2 linked regions of the Arabidopsis thaliana genome follow. The protein of the gene in region 1 purifies or fractionates together with the protein of each later gene. This does not show direct contact. Each region holds a gene or a part of one and is shown on either strand. Other genes may lie near its edges. The genes, in order: RbcX1 and LHCB5.

Region 1 (4,809 bases):
CCTTCATCTACGTTTAGTGAGAAAGTATTACTACCAGAAGAGGAACATGCCCTCATGACTCTATCAGAGTAAGATTTTCTTCATGCCCTTATGTTCTTATCTGTTATATAGAAAATCAAGTTCAAGTCATCAACTCAGTGATCTTTTTATGCAGTGAATCTTCATCCGGTAGCAACGGTATGGAAGTTCTGTTGAATTTGCTATCAGTAAAGAACTGCGATTGGGCTACTTCGCCTCGCCTATTACCAGTTTTAGAACCTATTCTTATGCGGTTATGTGCTAGGTATGTTCATTCTTGGAGGAGATGTAATGGTTATATATGAATCATATAGGCATAACTTTCAATGGTCTTTCTTGATTTTGATAGGTACCTCTTGCAAGAGAAGAAGAGAGGAAAAGCTTTAGACTCTGTTGCTAACTTCCACTTGCAAAATGGAGCGGTAAGTCCAGTGAATGACGATAGGTTTTAGTTAATAGAGTGATTGAGATTGATAAGCTTTCATGTTTTGATACGTTACATAGATGGTTGAAAGAATAAATTGGATGGCGGATCGATCAGAGAAAGGTATTCGTCAAAGTGGAGGCATTATGGTAAACTATGTCTATAGGTAAAGTAAACTTTGTACTTTAAATTATTCAGCTACGAAGCTTTCATTTTTGTTGGTCCTAAACCCATCTTATTCGATTCATGACAGGTTAGAGAATATCGAAGACTATGCTCAATCGTATTTTGGGTCGGGCAAAATCCATGCCTCTCCCGGTATCCATTCCCGTCTCTAGGTAACTCCGCAAAGAAAATCGGGTTTTGATCGATTTGCAGGTAAAAAAAACTAAGGTATCAAAACCTGGGAGTAACATAGCACAATGGTATGTATATGTATGTACAAACGGTTTCAAGTGTGTATACTCTCAAGACTCTATATATATGAATGTGATTCGAAGAGATATTCGGTTTCACTTATCAGAATCGGTTTCGACATGGCTAGTCTCCAAGACGTACTCGCGCATGAGTCTTGTGTTGGAATCATCTACGTTCTGCATTTTCAAAAACACAAGATGCTTCATTACGTACTTGCATTCATATATGTACAACGAGAGAGAGAGATAGATAGAAGTGAACCTTGAAGGCGAGGCGCTTCATATTATCCCATTCGAAATCGTTTTTACAATAAGCAGACCGTACCTAAGCGGTAACAAACGGTTTCAAACCGTAAATACAAACGTAGAGATGAGAAAAGATGTAGAAGTGTTTTCGAAAATGTATTAAAGGAGAAAAGAAAAGCTTAGCTTACCTCTAAAATTCGAAGGGCTTGTTGCATTGGCCATGATACCAAAAAAAAAAAGCAAAGTTTTTAGTTTACTTATCTCATATCAAGTATATGTATACCTAAAAGATATACGAAACTTATGGATCTACAAAGTGATTTCGTTAGTAATCCGCAAATTGGTGGAATTGTATTTCGTCACGCAATTTTTGAAGTAGTTTTTCTTTACAAGAATTGCACAGATTAGTTGTGTTATACTGTTAGTTTTGTGCCTGAGCAAATTACCCGAACCAGATGTACCAAACCAAAACCGAAGTAAACAGAACCGATAACCAGAAACTAATTGAATGGATACAAAATTTTATAATCGAAATAACTGAAACCGAATGGATACCAACCGAAATATTTTGAGTAACCAAAAATATCTAAAATATAAATATATATTTACAAAAGTATTAGTTATTTCTAGACTAGATAATTAAAAATACTTGAGAATATATATAAAATAGTAAAAATATTCAAAAATAATAAAAAAAATATCTCAAAATATCCGAAAATATCCAAAAATATCCGAAAATAACCGAAATATCCAAAAATATTTAAAGCAAAATAACCGGATGGATACTAAATTTTAAAACCGAAATAATCGAAACCGAACCGAACTTTCAAATTAACCGAAGGGATACTAAACTTTAAAACAAAAAAAAAAACGATAAGCGAATGGATATAACTGAAACCGAATATATAAACCGAACTCCCATAACTAGTTATTTTAGTGAGAAGTTTCAACTTCCAATGTACGAAAAGAATGTTTGGAAAAAGTAAAGAGATTTCGTCTAAATTACTAGAAGAAAACCAAATTTGTTAAAAAAGTATAATGTATAACTTTAAGAACCTAGAATTAAAATTCCAACTAACAAGTTTCACAAAAAGAAAACGCATACTAGAATTTTATAACCAAATTATTGATATAAAGGTGTTATTTTTGGTACCTAAGTTCATGTGACGTGAAGAGCGACGCATGAGAGTGGCGCAGAATTTATCACCGTCACTTACAGAGTTTGTATCTAAAAATTCTCTCAACTCCATATAAGCCTCAGGATTATAACTCTGTCATTAATTAATATATAGATCATACTTATTATTAATCAAAACACCTAAATTAAAAAATCAAATAAATCGTCAAATCAACCTCAAGCTGAGCAGACACTATCCTCACTGCAACGTAAGTAAAGAAGTCATGAAGATGCTTCGCTGCCTTAGCCTCCGGTGAAGCTTCTCCAAAGCCTAATTCAATTATATAACAAAAAAAACATTAGAAAAATAGGCATTAATCTATATAGAACAATTCTGTATGAATAAAAACCACATTTTGTGATGAATATGTCATATTGTTACATACCGGGAACATACATCTTGTTAGAACAAATGCGAGTTTGTTTGCATTTTCGCGAACTCTGCATTAATGGATAAGAAACCAAAGGTCTTTTTCCAAATTTTGGATTAAGGTAAGAGAGGTAAGAGTGATGAAGGAGTGAAGAAGATGACTCCATAGAAATATTGGATGAAGAAAAATTGCAGGAGAGGCATATTGTTTTACTATTTGGTCGTATATAAGAGAATGTATTAGATTCACACATTAAAATATCTAGGATATGGATAAATAAATATCTTCTAGTTGGAAGTATATAGACAAAACATGTCTTATTTGTTTCAATATCTGGTATTGTAATATCAAATATATCAATTGGGTTTATTTATTTTTATCAATTTTAAGTATTTTTCTAATAAAACAATTTATCAAAAAAATATAATTACTCTTTGTTTCTTTTGTCAGTACTAGTTAATCGGTAAAATTTATTAACTAAATGTATGTATGGCATAATTGAAAAGAGTTGTGTTCAAATGGTTGTATACAATGAAAAAATTCGAAACTCTAGCTTTGAATGGTAATTCATTATCAAAGCTGGAAGTTGTACAGTTTTGATGGTTATACATTTACAAAACTTTTATCAAAAACGTTACAAATTTTTTTATTTTCAGTTTTATTGTACAGTTTTCTCGTACAGCTATTTTTACAGCTTTGCATTATTTCAAAAAATTTGAGAGTTAAAAATTTTGTACAGCTTTGTGTTACATGTTAGACATTTAGTATACATAGACAAGGAGAGGTAGATTATAGTTAAGTTTGGTATATTACTTATATCCTTCTGCTGTTATAATTCTAAAATTCAGTAAATTTAAGTGGATCATGATCGAACACCACACCTTTACCCACAAACGTTGGCCCATGATCATCACATATTGAAAAAAATTATATTGTTACACGTGTAAATACCTACGCCTAGTGATTCAAAGGTCAAAGTCAAAACGCTAAAATTAATGTTCTAATTTCTAGATCACATGCCATGCGCGTGTTAACACTGTTAAATTGTCCACACCACACGTGTGAAATGCTTATCTTATCTTCCTATATTAGATTCTTAGTGGTTCGTGTAACTCACTCACTTCTCACCGCGTGTTAATTATTTAACTAGCCGTTAGGCGTTAGTATTTCGACAGTGTGGCAACAACTGTTATAATAAATTCTCATTAAAACCAATTAATAGCTTCATGACCGAATTATTCCGATGAAAAGATAAAATAGTACTACATCTTTTTTTTTTTTTTTGTCATCAAATAGTACTACATCTGTTTGCATGTAAATTGTATAGTACTACATCAAATTCCTTGTATGTTCTTAGTTTGTTTTTGATACATTTAAAAGGGAATATATATATATATATGTAATTATACTAAGTTCTTAAGATATTCTATTCCCAAAATCTTGATTGGATGATTATTATTATTTTAAAATATTGATAAATTTTGACCATGTAATGGGTAAATTATGAAATGCCTTGGAATTTTACTATTCATCCTACTTTTATTATTATTATTTTTATGAAATATACATATCATTCAATAACATTCCTAATTTTAACATTACAAACCACAATCGTTTGTATCAAACAAAATAGAATGAAAAGGAGGCAAAATACAGATATTTAAAAATTTAGGTTAATTTCCAGAGAATAGATTTTGTGGAGGAGAAATACATGGCATATAGTTCACAGTACAACGTTATGTTTTACATCTAATAGCAACCACCAACATATGATCTCCATCTTCTACATATACATTTTCGCTGCCATTTTAACAAATAAATCTTCAAGTTGGAACTTATTTACAAGAAATGTTATTGACATTTATTATTATCAAATAATTAATATTCTTAATTATTAGCATTTACTTATCTAATATATATCCATCAATTCTAATTACTTTTAAAAAGGAAAAATGTTAGGATTTTATTAACATTATAATTTATTAAAGATAAATAATATAGTTATTTAAAATTTATAAAATATTTAGGATATTTACCGAAAAATGTTTAGAATATATATAATATATGAAATGTATTAAATTAAATAACCATTTCAAAAGAAAACTTTAAATTGAATTGAATTATAAATCTTTTAATAAAAATATTATTAGAACAAAA
Region 2 (4,429 bases), 4.3 Mb from region 1:
CGTCAGCTTCCATACTCTTGATGTAGGACCGCGAGTTCCAACACTTGATGTGTTAGTTTTACAAATTAAACGAGGGTTTGGGTTTATAAAGATGAGTTCAGATTTAGATTTAATTTTTTTTTTTTTTAAATAATACTAATATTAATAATCAAAACCCCTTTAATGGGCCTCGGGCTGAGGCCTTACAAAAACATAGATCATGGAATCTGACGACTACACCAGAGGACGAGTTCTAATCCCGACGGTGGTCGGAAGTAGAGACGACCTACTTGTTAAAAGTAAATGTAATTGTTAAATGTTGGTTAGATGTGACAAAATATCAAGCAATATAAATGCTTGATTTGCTTAAAATGGTTATCACTTATTGAACCTTTGATCTGACAGTGAAAACATTCTTATTTTGAATCGAAGCAAATGTACATGCCTAGCTAGAGTTTAGAATCCAATTGGGGTTGTGATTTCTGCAACTTCAAAGCTCACAGAGTGAAAACACTAATTTGTGTTTTGCAATCGAAGCAAAATTCACATTTTTATGACACATCGGTATTACTGTATGAGACATGCAATTGTTGAGAGTGAGTAATACTAGTTCTTTACAATGTAAGAATGATTAATTAGTTGTGAAAATATTCTGCTACTGCTCATTGCTATTTGATCTTCTGCTACTTAATATTGTTCAACGGATCACATCTCTCGACTAACTTATATAGTCCCAAATTCCATCACAATATTAGTTGTGAAACTTTTTACCATACTCGCCACTAGTGATAAAATCGCAATGTATGACTAAATTGTGACAGAGCGTTCTTGGTAACAACAAATATTAAACCAATGGGTGACTATGTATATCCTTAGAAGCATGATAAAGCACCATTGAAAATTTGAAATATATCAAGAAGATTCAGATGGAAGTTTTTTTAACATTGTCAAAAGGAGTTCCAATCGAACAAAGTGTACATTTTGGAAGCTCTTAAAAAAAGTAGAAATGGCTTAGAGAGTGGGAGCTCTCTCGGCAGTTCCAGCGATGACGGTAAGCAAGTTGTTTCCAAAAGGATCACTGAGATGCTTTGCAAGGTTCTCAACAGGACCTTCTCCGGTAACATACGCTTGGATAAAGAAACCGAGCATCGCAAACATGGCTAATCTCCCGTTCTTGATCTCTTTGACTTTGAGAAGAGCTCCTTGCTCAGGGTCCTTAGCAAGGCCTAGAGGATCAAATGGACCTCCTGGGTGTAGCTTGTCCTCGAAATCCTACCAAATATTTGCATTTCAAGTTTAGTCATTTTCCCATGAGTAATAGCTAAATGTAGAGACTAGAGAGTAATGTACCAATCCGTTGGTGATTCTGTAGTACTCGGCTCCACCGAGGAGAACAACCTCAGCAACTACGGCGAGAACAAGGTTGATAGGGATGTTCTTGCCAAAGTAGTTCAATGTGTTTCCATCAAGAAGCAAAGCACCAGTCTGCAATCAGTATTCCAAAAAGAACCATCTCATCACATCAACACATTCTTGCTTTGCTAAAGAATCTAAGTCTGAATGTAAATAAAGATTAGACGTAGGCAAGAACCTTAAACCAGACAGCTTCAGGGCCACAGTTAGCGCCATATTTGTTTAAAGCTTCAGGAATGATGAAACCAGCTGCTCCTAACATAGCCCATCTCGCATGGATCAATTCAAAAGCTTGGTATCTACAACCACATTCATTAAAGAACCAATCTTAATGACAAATTCGATAGATATAGCTCAAAGCAAACACAAAAGGTTTAGGATAAAAGAATCTACTTACTTAGCAAAGTTCTCAGGCTTCTTTCCAAGACCAAATGGGTCATAACCATAACTGCAAATTCAGATTCAGACCAATAAACCTTAAGCACAGAATCCAAAAGTAGGCATACATACAAAGAGAGACATGAAAAAGTGTCTTACTCTCCAGCAACTTCACCGTTTAAGTACTCTGGGATCTCTGATCTATCCAAAAGACCATCAGGCAAGAAAATTCTCCTGTCAGGACCTGCATAAGAGTCACAATTACAAACACATTCACAAAGAAACAGAGCAAGAAATGATTATAAAAGGGATTTAGAAGACACATACCATACCACTTGGCGAGCTCATCGCTAGTCTCAGAGACAGCCTTGGACTTAGCAGGAGCTGGCTTTTTCTTAGAGAAGAGAGCAACAGTCTTGAACGTGGATGGGCTTGATGCCAACGGAGCAGACGATCTTGAAACTGCCCTGAAGTTAAGGGGAGTACCAAGCATTTCCGACACACCCAAAGACGCCATTCTTTTAGTCCAAAGTTTCAAGCTTTACTCTGGTTTAACACTAGGAAGAGCTAAGTGAAAGAAGGAGGAAGAGACGAAACTGCTCCTATAAGGTGGAGAGTAGGATTCGTTCAGGATTTTGATTGGTCTGGATTGAAAATGTGAAATATGATTCTGTCCTCTGATTGGTTGTGGATGCTGATGTGGCTTTTAGATTGGTTTTTGTTGGATAATTTATTTTATCCATATCCTCTGTTTCTCCTTTTGTGTGGCTAAGCTTTCACCTATACAGCAAAATGTGTTACAAGAATCTCAAACACATGAAAATCTCAACTGTTAAATGTCATCCACAAGCCTTTCACAGTCCTAGTTGGGGTTTTCAGTAAATTCCTTGGGACATTTGGAATCACTGTGGTCCTGTTTACTACCGTAATGTAGACGACAACCGGAATTTTCATATAGACGTAAAACTCCCAAGCTCAACGGTTAGATTTTCACATTGTATCAACAGTTATGAACATACTCATTACACCAAAAAGAGAAACGAATCATCCGACTAGTCCTAGACGTGAACATACTCTTTCTACAAGGAGTTTCCCACAATTCTATAACATATACATCATGTGGATCGAAACTGAAGCGATTGAGCCGCAGGATCATGTACATAGAGAATACGAAAATTTAATCATCTTGGTTCACAGTGCCGGTTCACACACAGTACTACGGTAGAATCGAAAGAGCTATAATGAATTTATGCCCTTTGGCCCTAGAGCTGAGCTCACTGTGCCACTATACGCACTATTCTACCTCCTTAAACTGAGAGAAAATCTCAAACTCAACCTCCATATTGATCCAAGTTGAGCCATAAAGAACAACTCATAGCACCAAAAATCAGCACTCAAACCATACACATTACCAGAATGATAAATCAGCCACCTAAATTATGCGAATCCATCTTTATACCATACGTAAAATTGTACAAAAAGAAAGGAGATTATCACTAGCCCCAAATCTACATTATTGATCTAAGAACAAACCAAACACTACCATTTACTTGGAAGCTGCAACAAATCCTAAAAGTTCATCATTTTAACCACTTGTCGATTTCATTTGTAGTAGCTTTCACAAGCTTCTTCGTGCTAACAACAAGTTCATCAATCAGTGAATCAACTTCATTCCTGTCAACAAATCACCAAAGTCAAAATCATCATCTTCTTCTTCAAATCCTTAATCACTAAAAATCTAATTGCAGACAAATACTCACAGAGATGGTTTTCCAACGTTGTAATAAGAACGAGAGTGATCATAAGCAGCTCCTCTTCCAACACCATAGCCAAAACCTACACCAATTCCACAACCAGCTCCAAATCCAAGACCAAATTGTAATCCAGGAACTCCTGGTCCGAATCCTACACCTGTTTTCATCAAACCAATCTCTACTCTCTTAAACCAAAACTATCTATAAATAGCTTCGAGCGATTCGCGAGTCTGCGATCAAAATTGGGAGAAATTAGAAATTTACCTCCGATAAGACCGGCGCCGAAACCAAATCCGCAACCGACACCGAGTCCAAAAGCTGGACCAACTTTTCCAATGTCTCTGATCCTAACTTGGGGAAGTTTCCAGAGCAATCCTTTGTCATCGTCTCCGGTTCTTCTTCTGTTGCTCATCGTCCCTTTCGCTCTCTCTTTCGGCGTGGATTCGCCAATACATACTTTAAATGGGCCTATATTATAAGGCGCACTCTTATTTCTCAAGGCCCAACTTCAGCCCAATAGTCATATAGATCTCATTTCACAAGCGATATTTGTTATGTTTATTTTATTTTAATCTTTTGTTTTATATCATAATGAATTTTATAGAAGATATCTGTTATGTTTATATTCATAATGAATTTGTTTTATATCATAATAATATGGATTTTCATTAACAACATTTTTTTTAATACATAAAACTAAAAAACCCACAATTATTCTCAAATTTTCACTTTGTTTTCAGTTACTTTATATATATTTGCCAAACATATTATATAATATATGAAGATTTGTTCTTACATATATTTAATGGATTGATGCCTCATTAGTTTTATTCTCAATTTCAAAACTAAAATTAATAACAAATCTTTCGTAAAACTATTAAATTTTAGATTCAACTAGATTAAAC

Evidence for each region.
Region 2: the proteins of RbcX1 (region 1) and LHCB5 purify together in Arabidopsis thaliana (affinity purification with mass spectrometry, with the first as the bait; one study listed by BioGRID). This does not show direct contact.

Annotation. Positions count from the first base shown.
Region 1 is NC_003075.7:2,115,746-2,120,554, forward strand, and holds RbcX1 (Chaperonin-like RbcX protein), read right to left. Parts: upstream 2,873-4,809; 5' UTR 2,819-2,872; coding exon 2,668-2,818; intron 2,553-2,667; coding exon 2,458-2,552; intron 2,376-2,457; coding exon 2,258-2,375; intron 1,310-2,257; coding exon 1,293-1,309; intron 1,184-1,292; coding exon 1,121-1,183; intron 1,036-1,120; coding exon 955-1,035; 3' UTR 808-954; downstream 1-807. Other genes in the region: AT4G04320 (malonyl-CoA decarboxylase family protein), read left to right, coding at 1-68, 155-283, 368-440, 523-608, 696-780. UniProt on the Arabidopsis thaliana protein: Chaperone involved in RuBisCO assembly process.
Region 2 is NC_003075.7:6,406,058-6,410,486, reverse strand, and holds LHCB5 (light harvesting complex of photosystem II 5), read right to left. Parts: upstream 2,481-4,429; 5' UTR 2,288-2,480; coding exon 2,098-2,287; intron 2,015-2,097; coding exon 1,930-2,014; intron 1,841-1,929; coding exon 1,790-1,840; intron 1,692-1,789; coding exon 1,571-1,691; intron 1,465-1,570; coding exon 1,330-1,464; intron 1,252-1,329; coding exon 991-1,251; 3' UTR 638-990; downstream 1-637. Other genes in the region: AT4G10330 (glycine-rich protein), read right to left, coding at 3,351-3,444, 3,531-3,681, 3,789-3,936. UniProt on the Arabidopsis thaliana protein: The light-harvesting complex (LHC) functions as a light receptor, it captures and delivers excitation energy to photosystems with which it is closely associated.